Cricetulus griseus: one gene and its partners. Each later gene encodes a partner of the first gene's protein in a complex. Links are inferred from orthologs where the notes say so. Each region holds a gene or a part of one and is shown on either strand. Other genes may lie near its edges.

Region 1 (4,360 bases):
AAGTTTTTGAAAATTCACTCTCAAAAATTATTTAGCTTTGCTAATGAAAATTATGTACAAGTCTTCTTCTGTCATGTCCCCCTCCCCTTTCTCTCCTCTTCTTGCCCTGAAGTTCAGAGCCAAATGTTTTGTTTTATGACGACATGCTATAAATAGTTTTCAGAGAGCAGAACAAGCAATTAGGGCAGGATTTTTATTCAGTGGCATGAAATGTTTTGCAAGGTAGCAAGGTAAAGAGAAAGGAACAAGCTATATAATCAAGTGATCAGGAATTTAGCAATCAGTTAAAACTGATTTTTTTTTTTTTTTTTTTTTTTCGGGACAAGGTTTCTCTGTGGCTTTGGAGGCTGTCCTGGAACTAGCTCTTGTAGACCAGGATGGTCTTGAACTCACAGAGATCCACCTGCCTCTGCCTCCCGAGTGCTGGGATTAAAAGTGTGCGCCACCAACGCCCGGCTAAAACTGATTTCTAATTGTGTGAATTTTAATGATTCATTTAATATTTAGCTGACAGCTTATTTATAGAGTAATTACACACATACACAAATATGTTCTTGAGTCTTATTAATTTCTGGTGTATCTAAAGGTACCTGATACAGTATCTTACATATAGTTCCTACCAAAAATAAAACCCTTTTCTTTTTTTTTTTTTTTCTTTTCGAGACAGGGTTTCTCTGTGTAGCTTTGGAGCCTATCCTGGCATTCGCTCTGGAGACCAGGCTGGCCTCAAACTCACAGAGATCCGCCTGCCTCTATTTCCCTAGTGTTGGGATTAAAAGTGTGTGCCACCAATGCCCGGCTCAAAAATCCCTTTTCATTCAAGTATAAATTATTAGTTTCTTCATACAGGTCTATGTAGATGCATTACACATTTTCTTTAATGTACTTGGATTCTCCGGAACAGAAAGCATCGATATGGCTATAAAATGACCCAAGAAGGACATGCTTTACTGGATGTGGTTGTGACTCTGTGGATGACATATTTGTTTTTTTTGCTACAAAGTGTAACTTCTTGAAGCTCTGAAGGGTAAATTGGAATAATGTAAAGAGGTGGGCTTGGTGGCAATTGCTTATGTTTCTAGCACTTGAGAGGCAGAGCAGGAGAATTTTGAGTTCAAGGCTTGCCTTGGCTACATAACAAGACTATTTCACTACAACAGAACACAAAGTACTGAAAACTATATGTAGCTTATAGTAAGTGCTTAGCTTTCTCCTCTGGCCTACCTCTTGCCAGTCTAAATGCTTTTCTCAGTCTTGGTTTCTTTAGCCTGTTACTATTTTGTCCTCTTTGTGCCATCATAGTAGCTTTAGTTTCTTGGAGGACAGTTATCTACACATCATGTTGTTAAAATGCTTGACTTTGTGGGTGGGGTTACCCTGGTTGCTTTCCCATTACCTATTAGCTGATCTTGACTGACTTCTAGTTACAGGTGACTGAATTTGCAAGCTGCAGAATGCATAGCACCTTACAAGGTAAATGAAAAAGGCCACTTAATTGTACTGTTTTTTTTTTTTTAATTTTCCTTTATTTCAGCAGTTTTTCAGGTTTTTTTTTTTTTTAAAGATATTTATTTATTATGTATACAGTCTTCTGCCTGCATGCCAGCGGAGGACACCAGATGTCATCCAAAGTGGTTGTTAGCCACCATGTGGTTGCTGGGAATTGAACTCAGGACCTCTGGAAGAACATTCAGTGCTCTTAGCCTCTGAGCCATCTCTCCAGCCCCAATTGTACTGGTTATTAAACAAAAATTTGCAACATTTGTTATCTATAATTTTAACATTTGTTAGCTATCTGTAATAAGTAAGATAGTGAGAGATAGTCATTAGGTTTTTTTGTTGTTGTTGTTGCTAATTTGTTTTTTTTGCTAGAAGAAAAGGCAAAAATGGGATTTATGAATGCATGTCCTAGCTTGATTTCCTGTTGCTGTGGTAAAGAATGTGACCAAAAGCAATTTGAGAAGGAAAGAACTTGGCTTCCATGTCCCAGTTAGAAGCCATCATTGAAGGATATACTAATACATAGTGCATAGTATGATTCTACCTTTAAAAATATTAAGTAAATATCTGTATTTATTTCACAAATGTTTATTTGGTATGAATTCTTCATCACATTGACTTACTACTTTTTAGGTTGGCCATAATGAGCACACTGCAGTTAAAGGAAGCTAAGGTGCTGGATGTTCAATTTGTGGGAGATGATAATGTTCTCAATCACATTTTTGATAGAGAAGGAGGTATGTATGATTGTACAGTTGAAGAGATGCTTATGATCACATCTTTGTTGTTGTTGTTGTTTTCCCGAACCAGGGTTTCTCTGTGTGGCCCTGGCTGTCCTGGAACTCGCTCTGTAGACCAGACTGGCCACAAACTCACAGAGACCCACCTGCCTCTGCCTGTGAGTGCTGGGATGAAATGATTTGTGGTGGTAGAAAATGATTGCCCACTAACCCCAAAACCACAAATTAACACTTTCAAGGGGGTGTGTGTTTAACTTAATTGTTTATTTCTTCTTCTTCTTCCTCCTCTTCCTCCTCCTCCTCCTCCTCTTCCTCACCCCCCCCCCCCCCCCCGTATGTCTGTATACCACATATGTGCTTGGTGCCCAGAACAACACATTGGATACCCTACAGCTAGAATTACATACAGTTGTGAGCCACCATATGGGTGCTAGGGACTGAACCCAGATCCTCTATTAGAGCATCAAGTGCTCTTAGAGCACACCTTAGAGATGTTGAGTCATCTCTCCAGCCTCTGACTTAGTATCTTTAATGAAAGGAAAAACATTGGCTTCTCTCAGTTTTACGTACTAATCATGCATTTAGTGAGGTTTGTCTACTGACATATGTAACATGCACATGGTGGTCAGAGGAGAACTCTCTGGAAATGGTTCTCTTCTTCCCCTTGTATTCCGTCAGGCTGGTATGGCCCACAGTTTATCTGCCGAACCATCTGGATGGCTCTAATGAAATGTTTAGAAAGATTTCACAACAGTCAATGGTAGCGCATGCCTTTAATCCCAGCTTTCAAGAGGCAGAGGCAGATGGCTCTCTCTGTGAGTTCTAGACCATCCTGGTCTACAGAAAGAGTTTCAGGACAACCAGAACTGTGAACTCCTGCCTCAAAAAAAATATGTGTGTGTGTGTGTGTGTGTGTGTGTGTGTGTGTGTGTGTGTGTGTAGGTGTGTAATTAATAAAAAGATATTCATACCTTTAATTTTCATACCTTTTGTGTATTTTTATAGGAACTAAATTAAAGAAGGAGAAAGCTCAGCTTTTGGTTAATCCCCAGAAAATAATAAAGAAGCCAGAATGTGAATTGGAGAAGAGTGACCAAGAAGTCTTAAAGGATCAGAACTATGTGGAAGTTTTGGGAAGAAATATTCAAGGTATTCAATGAGGGTAACATACACTAAGCTTTTGGCTAGTAGCATGAACTGCTTGCTTTTCAGGATGTACAAAAATAACTTGGTAGCCTAGAAAGTGGTATACTATAATTGTGTGTCGAATCTAAAAGCATTCCCTTTGTTTGCTATTGTTGCATTTTTTAAAGTTTAGTTTTTTCATTTTGTTTGTATATGAGTGCAAGTGCCCTTGGAGCCAGAAGAGGGCATTAGCTGGGGTTACAAGTTCCCAAAGCAGCACTGGGAACTGAACTCAGGCTTCTATTGAACCATCTCTCCAGCCCCCAGCAGGTTTTTTTGTTTTTGTTTTTGTTTTGTTTTTTTTTTTTTAATAAAAGAGAAGTAACCAGTGCTTGAGTCCTTGGTCTGTGACCCAATGCAGCCTCCTGAATAGTTGGGATTATAGGCATGTCTCATCATGCCACATATAGGCATGTAATTGTATTTAGAGGAGAAAAGGTGTTAAGTTCCCTGATTCAGAGGCTTCAGTCCATGGTTGCTGGTCTGGTGTTCTTGGGCAGAACATCATGTGGGTTGGTAGCCTGTGCAGGAGAGCTGTTCATGGAGACAGGGAGCCGAGGATAGTCACATTACAGATTAGGTCTCTTTACTGTTACTTTGATCCTCTTTTTAAAATAGAAGGAAAATTCAAGGAGGTAGTGTTGCTCTCACCTAGGCATGCTCACAGTGTTGTTTTGGTTTGGTATGGTTGTTTTTTTTTGTTTGTTTGTTTTTGTTTTTGTTTTTTTGAGATGGGAGCCTTTTGACATAGCCCTACTGTCCTGGAACTCTCTCTGTAGACCAGGCTAGCCTCTAACTCACTGAGATCCTCCTGCCTCTGCCTCCTGAGTGCTGGGATCAATTTTAGCTTTTTGTTTGTTTGTTTTTTGGGACAGGGTTTCTCTCTGTAGCCCTGGCTGTCTTTGAAGCCAATGATACTCTGTAGACCAGACTGG
Region 2 (3,638 bases), on another chromosome or scaffold:
TTTAGCTCCCAGCTGGTGAAACTATTTGGAAAGGATCAGGAGGTGTGGTTTTGTTGGAAGAGGTTTGCCACTGGGGGCAGGTTTTGAGATTCTAAAAAGCCCCAGCTAGCTCTCTCCACCTCCTACTTGCAGATAACTGTGTCTGCCAAGCCTGCTGTCATGTTCCCCGTGTGAGCCCCAAGGCAAATGCTTTAGTTGGCCTGACCCATTAATAGAAAGTTAAGTAAGCTGAAATACTAATACAAAGTAGTAGAAATTTGCTGATATTTGAGAACTAAATGTAGGAGAAATGGGCATGATATTGGAGAGCCGTGCAGAATTTGGCTGGGCTATTAACTGGCTTTGTTAAGATGAAGCATTAGTATTAATTAGTTCAGTGCTTAGGTCTGAAAATCTAAAATTAATGCAAGAAGTTGGCTGTGCTATATAGCTCTCTTTTATTCCCTTCTCTTTGCAACTACTTGCAGTACTTATTGTCCTCTGAATTTGAATTTATACTATTACTATGTCTGACTCCTCTCTAGGCTTCATTATTAAATCATTGCATCATAAAATACTTGAGTTCAGATTCGTGTTAGTAAGTGACATTTTTGTGTATAAATACATTTTACTAATTCACTAAAACTGATTTCAGTAGGATTCTAGTATGGAAAGTATTAAGTAGTTGTGATTAATTAGTTTTCCTCACACTTCTTAATGCATAGAATTCCTGAAGAGATTGTTAAAACACGTAGTAGATTTGGGTCTTATCCCTAAATTGAGTTATCCTTAATTAGGTGATGCTTGGTTTATGATGGTATTCACATGCTGGAAAGTAGCAGTTAATTGTCTAGCTTTGATCTTTTTATTAAACATCATTATGGCTAAGAGTACAAATTAATGCCTTATCATTTATATGAGACTAATGTATTAAGTAGGATTTAACCAGCAGTGTGTATGCTGTTGTACTAACATTATTGATATTTTTGTTGCTTTATTGCAGTAATAAGTTAGAATTAGCCTGTACTTAAATACTGATTTTAAATAAAATTGCTTAATTTGTAATAAAACATTTTATGTGAAAAATTCCTAACTATAATCTTTGTCCTGCTTTTTTGTCTTCTCGTTTTAAATTTATAGGCAGTGCTTAATTTTCCCAAATATTGTGAACCTGTAGTTAAAGGAGAAGGTAACTAACTATAATTATTAATATTTCATTATATTGTTATTAGATTAATTATGTTATACACGATTTAATTATTGAAATTCTTTTCCTGGAGTAGCAGGTGAACGCGATACTCGAAAACTGTGGAGAAATATTGAGCCTCACCTGAAGAAAGCAATGCAGACCGTTTATCTCAGGGAGATATCAAGGTAATTATGTTTCTAGCATGTTAGATAGCATTTATCCGAAGTGGGTTACAGACATCAGGTTTGTGGTTTTGAATGTTTGTATAGAATTTGCTGATTAAGCTCCCTAATCCAAATCTAAGCTCTAGAATATTTCAAATTTGTAAACTATTTAATTTCATATCACAGCTGTTGTTCAGTGAAACTAAAGGATACACGTTCTCCTTTCCTTCCCCGAATTAAGTATGTAGAAAGAGAAGATTCAGCCGCAGCTATAATTGGACCTCATGGAGACAGGAAATGTGGGTTGTATGAGGTTCAGCACTAGAGTGAAGAAAACATGGTAAATGAAGACGACCTGCTTTCATGCACTGGAAGTGTCCACTGTCCCGGTTATCAGAGGGTCCTTTCCGAGACTCAGCTAGAATGCTGCATTCTTTTTTTTTTTTTTTTTCCCACTTATATTTTTATTTTGATCTATTCCTTGAGTAAAAAAAAAAACCTTATAGTGGCTGGACAAAAGGCTCAGTGAGTAAAAGTTCATGCTGCCAAGCCTTATGACATGGGACTGACCCTACTGTAGAATGCTGCATTCTAATAGATCACCACAGACACAGAGATTAAAACAATGTGTTTTCTTAGAGGATACATTCCTGCAGCTTCTGGTAGTTGCTGTATTCATCAGATTGTGGCTCTAAGTCTGCAGCCAAGCACTATCTCTTCTACCTGACCTCATCTCCTGCTGGAAGGGGTTTATTGATTTCACTGGGACTACTGGAGTAAGAGAAATTTTCTGTCTCAGGATCTGACTCAGCCACATCTGCTAAGGCCTTTTTCCCCACAAAAGGCAGCTTAATTACTTTATAGCAGCTTTGAAAGAAGCATTATTAAGTCTGCTATTGAGACTTGTAAACTGTTTAAACGGAAAAAAAAGGAAAGCACCTCTAGTATTCCAAGCAAAAAATCACTTACAAAAGCAAGTCAATAAAACCTGCAAATTGATGAGCATTTTCAAGAAAGTCAAAGAGAAGTGAAGCCAAATATTTATCTTTTCAACCTGTCAATCATGTATCAAAGCTGTAGAAAACAGGTTAAGCAGAATTAAATGGAGAACACTATTCATAAGGCATCTCTGAGCAATCTGCTAGTGACAGTCTTGGCATGACTGTGATAATATGGAAATTCTAGCCAAAAGACTATGGTAAACACTGAGTTTAACTTTGTCTCTAAATGATGTCAAACAGTATGCCAGTATACATTGCTTGCTGGATAAGCTGGAGATAGAACTTCAGAACAGTAGCGAGAGGACCCGCATGGTGGTCCATGCTTTGAATCTCAGCACTAAGGTGGCAGAGGCAGACAGATTTCTGTGAATTTGAGGACAGCCTGGTCTATAAAGTAAATTCCAGGCCACTACCTAGTGAGCACCCCACCCTGAAAAAAGAAGCAAGAGAAGTGGCGTGGGGAAGAACGTCTTGCCCTGAAGAAACAAGAGACAAATACATCAAAAGCTGAAGCTGTTACCCAACAGTGTACTCAAACACCTTTCTTCATCCTTCTAGCCTGGGCCTAACCACCTGTAGAGTTTCTGATTTTTCTTCCCTCTCTCTTTTGAAAAATAGGGATTTTGATAAATATGGATTCATATTTGGCTGTTTTTTGTTGTTGTTTTATTTTTTTTGGGTTTTTTGGGTTTTTTTTGTTTTGTTTTGTTTTTTGGCTTTTTGAGACAGGGTTTCTCTATGTAGCTTTGGAGCCTATCCTGGCACTTGCTCTGGAGACCAGGCTGGCCTCGAATTCACAGAGATCCGCCTGCCTCTGCCTCCTGAGTGCTGGGATTAAAGGCGTGCGCTACCAACGCCGGCCAACTGTGTTCTTGAAGGTCTCAGTGTTCTGATCATACATACTTCAGTTGATTACAGACTAGAATTGATGTGCAGTTGTATTCCATACAGTGATTAGAACTGCTGGGAGCTTATTGTAATCAGAGTGAAAAAGATAACTAAAAAATTAACACCTGAGCATTTTGTTACATTGTTAATATATTTCAAATGATTTTGTACAGGTAAAAACATGTACACGCGTATGTAAATTTTATTTTTCTATTTTCTGACTTAGATGAGAATATGTTCTGTGGGGCTCTTTTTACTAAAGGATATTGATTTCTTATATTTTCAATCTATTTTTCCTTTTTTGTTTTATTTTAGTTCCCAGTGGGAAAAGTTACAGAAAGATGACACAGACCCAGGACAGCTAAAAGGTATCAAATACAATACTGAGAATTACCAGGGGAACTGTTTAAACTATTA
Region 3 (3,318 bases), on another chromosome or scaffold:
TAGTAGAGAATAAGAGGCTATGTTCTCAGAAGCTCAGATAGGTGCTCAGAAGGACAACTTGTGCTCAGAAGGATGTAGGGTGAAGGTACTGTGTATGGCCAGGGGACTGGGGCTGGGTCTGGATCTGGTCCCTTTTTGGCAGGTCACAGCTCACTGGGAGAAGTTCATGGCCACCGTGAACCCTGAAGAGGAAGCTGACAAATTCCAGACTGACTTCGTGACATCTGCCATCAGGGACGTGCATTATGGCCCTGAGTCTCTCAGCGAGTTCACCCAGTGGCGGGTATGTCACTAATGAGGGACACTATGCGGGAGTTGGCTTCCCTGGCTCTAGGTTGTCCTAGAGAAGTCCCTGGCTCTATGGATTGGGGGACAGTGGTGAATGGGATGGGTCAGGGAATGGTGGCCCTTGTGCCTAGGGAGGCCCTTTTCCTACTTTGAGAGGCACAAGCTCCTGGTGGCAAGGTGTCTGGGGAGAGGATAAGGGCACCTGAGACTGTGCTCAGCCTGCTGACGGCCTGGCCCTACCCAGGTGCAGATGATCGCTGAGAAACTGGTGGCCTCAGGTGGGGCCCAGGTGCAGGAAGCTGACATACGAAAGGAGCCGCCACAGGCTGCAGCTGCCTCCAAGCCCAGGGTGAGTGTGTTTCCACAGGGCTGTGAGGGCCACAGGCCTTTCTGAGCTAGACCAGAGAGGGGCCTCCACATGAACTCAGGTGATGGTAGTCAGCCTGCCCTCGCTGTGACAAAATACCCAGAGTAACTAGCCTACTGGAAGGAAAGGTTAGTTTGGGTTTGTGGTTTCAGTCCATAGTTGCTTGGCCCAAGGCTGTTTGTATTGTGAGCTCACACAGCAAGGATGTCTGTGAATCTCATGATAGCTGGTATCCCAGTGTCCCCTTCAAAGGGAAGCCTCCCAGTGACCTAAGTCCCTTCACCTACACTGTACTTTTGAGTAGCCCCATAGACTGGTGACCCAGCTTTTTAAACTTTGGGCCCTTGGAGAACATTTTAAATGTTCAGCCCTAACACAGACCAAGTTCCCCCTGTGACAGTAGCTCAGTTCTTGCTTTACATACTTTTGAGGGTGTAGTTAAGCCTGTAGCCACGGGAGAAACCCTCTGGGGCACGGGCGCACGTTCCCTCCTTCCACAGTGCAGAGCGGTGGCCTCCAAGCGGCCAGATAATGTCCCACTCGACCTCCCTTCCATCAAGCGAGTGTGTTCCTCCCCAGCAGCCAAGACAGAGGACAAACCTGTGGACTCTGATGGAGGGCAGGTAAGCTCCCCAGATGGCAGGGGGAGTGTGCCAGAGAGGGAGCAAGCCAGGGGCAACTATAACCACCTGTGCCCCCACAGGCTGCCCTACACCTGGAACCCCTGCACTTCCTGCAGTGCCATAGCAGAAACAACAGCCCTAAGGACCTGGAGACCCAGCTGTGGGCCTGTGCCTTTGAGCCTGCCAGGGAGGAGGGTACACACTGGGGCCCACGGGCAGTGGGAGGCTTGGGTCACACAGTGGTACTCAGTGGCAGTCAGATTAAAAGATCCTTGAGGAATTCAGTGAGATTGTTTTTAGGGTAGAAAGGGATGGAAGTGGGTGGCGGTGGCGCACGCCTTTAATCCCAGCACTCTGGAGCAGATGCAGGAGAATCTCTGAGTTCAAGGCCAGCATGGTCTACAGAGCGAGTTCCAGGACAGCCAAAGGCTCCACAGAGAAACCTTGTCTCAAAAAAACAAAAACAAATCAAGGGTTGGAGACAGCTGACTGGCTAAGAGTGCTTGCTGCTTTTGTAGAGGGCTGAAGTTTGGTTCCCAGCTTCTACCATGGACAGCTCACAATTGCCAGTAACGCCAGCTCCCAGGAATTTAATGCCCTCTTCCGGCCTCCATGAGTACCTGCACTTATGTGCATACACCCCACGTGACACACATACATAACCATGCACTATTTGTTTAAAAGGTAAAAAGGCCATGGGAGTAGTACAGTGGTAGAGCACTTGTCTATCGTGTGAGGCCCTGGGTTCTATCCCCTGTCCAACAAATAATACTGTTATAATTTTTATTAATAAATGTCATGGAGGCCTGGAAGAGAGACTATAGGGAAGCACTTTACAGAAAAGTTGTTTATGTGGCTGATACCATAAAACAGGACACTCGGGGGCCACATCACAGACTGTGGCCACATGTGGTGGAGAGGCTGTTTGCGTGATAGACTGCCAGACAGGCATCGTTCTCCATAAATACAAGGTACCAGGCGAGGTGAGTGCCAGGGTCCTCTTCCTGAAGACTGCTGGGTCCAAGCTAAGCTCTCTATTTCCTGCAACTGCTCTGCCTCTGAGCCCTTTCCCTGGCTCCGCAGCCACCCACAGCCCTCCTGGGGGCTTTTCTTTGTTGGGCCTTACTGCCCCAGGCTAGCCCTCCAAGCAGGCTGCCACTTGTTCCTGCTCACGACCATTTCCTCCTTCCCACCCTTCAGGAGTTCTTCTCGGTGGCCTGGACAGCCCTGACGGTGGTCACCCAGGCAGGACACAAGAAGCGCTGGAACATGCTGGCAGCTGCAGGCCTCCGGGGCATGATCCGGCTGCTCCATGTGCGTGCAGGCTTTTGCTGCAGCGTCATCCGAGCCCATAAGAAGGCCATTGCCACCCTCTGCTTCAGCCCCACCCACGAGACCCACCTCTTCAGTAAGACCCTCACCTCTGAACTTTATCAGCACTGTAGTCTTTCTGCCCTGCTGTCCTGGGTCTCTTTTCTGGGGTGACAAGGCTCACAGGATGCTGGGCCCAGATGGCTTTAGTCAGAAGTGAGGTAGCTTCTTGACCAACCAGGATCTCCATTCCAGCATGCTATGCAGCCTTGACGTTTCCTAGCAACTTGGGCTCCTTGCTTCTACTCTGCCTGGGACCAAGGGAGATAACCCTGCCCCTTGGGTATGGTGAGCCCAACGAAGGAGCCAGATGTGCTACAAAGACGGCTATGATGCTGTGCACACTGGGCTCAGACAGGACTGGGGATTGTGGCCCCGAGTTCTTGTCCTAGCCGCAGTCTGCTGCCCTTTCTGCCTGCTTCTGATTAAGCTAGTTGAGGGACCCAACTCACAGATTCAACCTGCAAGAGGGGGCGGGATCTTCTGAGGGCTACCCTCTTCCCTCCATCCCCCAACCCCCCCCCCCACAGCTGCCTCTTACGACAAACGGATCATCCTCTGGGACATTGGGGTGCCCAACCATGAATACCAGTTCCAGGCTAGGTGAGGCTGTGGACCAGGCTGGAGAGGGGCGGACTGCTAAGGGTGATGTTCATGGCCCACAGCTCA

Evidence for each region.
Region 2: the proteins of Orc2 (region 1) and Orc5 are in contact, whole or in part, in a cryo-EM structure (PDB 7JPO), measured with the Homo sapiens proteins. The link is inferred for Cricetulus griseus from reciprocal best matches to the Homo sapiens genes ORC2 and ORC5. Residues at the interface, in NP_006181.1 of Homo sapiens: Val240, Glu241, Tyr243, Phe244, Glu245, Ser248, Asp396, Gln398, Arg401, Gly402, Glu403, His426, Asn428, Ala429, Pro430, Leu431, Met432, Trp433, Asp434, His435, Gln438, Trp445; in NP_002544.1 of Homo sapiens: Asp324, Lys325, Phe328, Leu329, Leu359, Asp360, Arg361, Ala364, Tyr367, Ser368, Ala378, Asn379, Phe381, Ser382, Gln383, Thr385, Ser386, Thr389, Asp400, Gln401, Leu402, Asp403, Tyr407.
Region 3: the proteins of Orc2 (region 1) and Lrwd1 are in contact, whole or in part, in a crystal structure (PDB 8SIU), measured with the Rattus norvegicus proteins. The link is inferred for Cricetulus griseus from reciprocal best matches to the Homo sapiens genes ORC2 and LRWD1. Residues at the interface, in NP_001012003.1 of Rattus norvegicus: Val11, Pro12, Ser13, Val14, Gln15, Phe16, Val17, Gly18, Asp19, Val22, Leu23, Ser24, His25, Ile26, Leu27, Asp28; in XP_038945348.1 of Rattus norvegicus: Pro262, Leu263, His264, Phe265, Leu266, Gln267, Cys268, Ser270, Asn273, Ser274, Pro275, Leu320, Val321, Leu322, His323, Lys324, Tyr325, Lys326, Leu367, Val369, Gly372, Phe373, Cys374, Pro596, Pro598, Val599, Ala600, Val605, Ile630.

Annotation. Positions count from the first base shown.
Region 1 is NC_048595.1:412,887,860-412,892,219, reverse strand, and holds the start of Orc2 (origin recognition complex subunit 2), read left to right. Parts: upstream 1-1,435; 5' UTR 1,436-1,473; intron 1,474-2,133; 5' UTR 2,134-2,143; coding exon 2,144-2,237; intron 2,238-3,245; coding exon 3,246-3,389; intron 3,390-4,360. UniProt on the Homo sapiens protein: Component of the origin recognition complex (ORC) that binds origins of replication. DNA-binding is ATP-dependent. The specific DNA sequences that define origins of replication have not been identified yet.
Region 2 is NW_023276806.1:171,948,971-171,952,608, forward strand, and holds part of Orc5 (origin recognition complex subunit 5), read left to right. Parts: intron 1-1,119; coding exon 1,120-1,168; intron 1,169-1,262; coding exon 1,263-1,353; intron 1,354-3,536; coding exon 3,537-3,589; intron 3,590-3,638. UniProt on the Homo sapiens protein: Component of the origin recognition complex (ORC) that binds origins of replication. DNA-binding is ATP-dependent. The specific DNA sequences that define origins of replication have not been identified yet.
Region 3 is NC_048597.1:115,118,697-115,122,014, reverse strand, and holds part of Lrwd1 (leucine-rich repeat and WD repeat-containing protein 1), read left to right. Parts: intron 1-142; coding exon 143-283; intron 284-532; coding exon 533-637; intron 638-1,155; coding exon 1,156-1,278; intron 1,279-1,358; coding exon 1,359-1,473; intron 1,474-2,151; coding exon 2,152-2,261; intron 2,262-2,478; coding exon 2,479-2,686; intron 2,687-3,179; coding exon 3,180-3,252; intron 3,253-3,318. UniProt on the Homo sapiens protein: Required for G1/S transition. Recruits and stabilizes the origin recognition complex (ORC) onto chromatin during G1 to establish pre-replication complex (preRC) and to heterochromatic sites in post-replicated cells.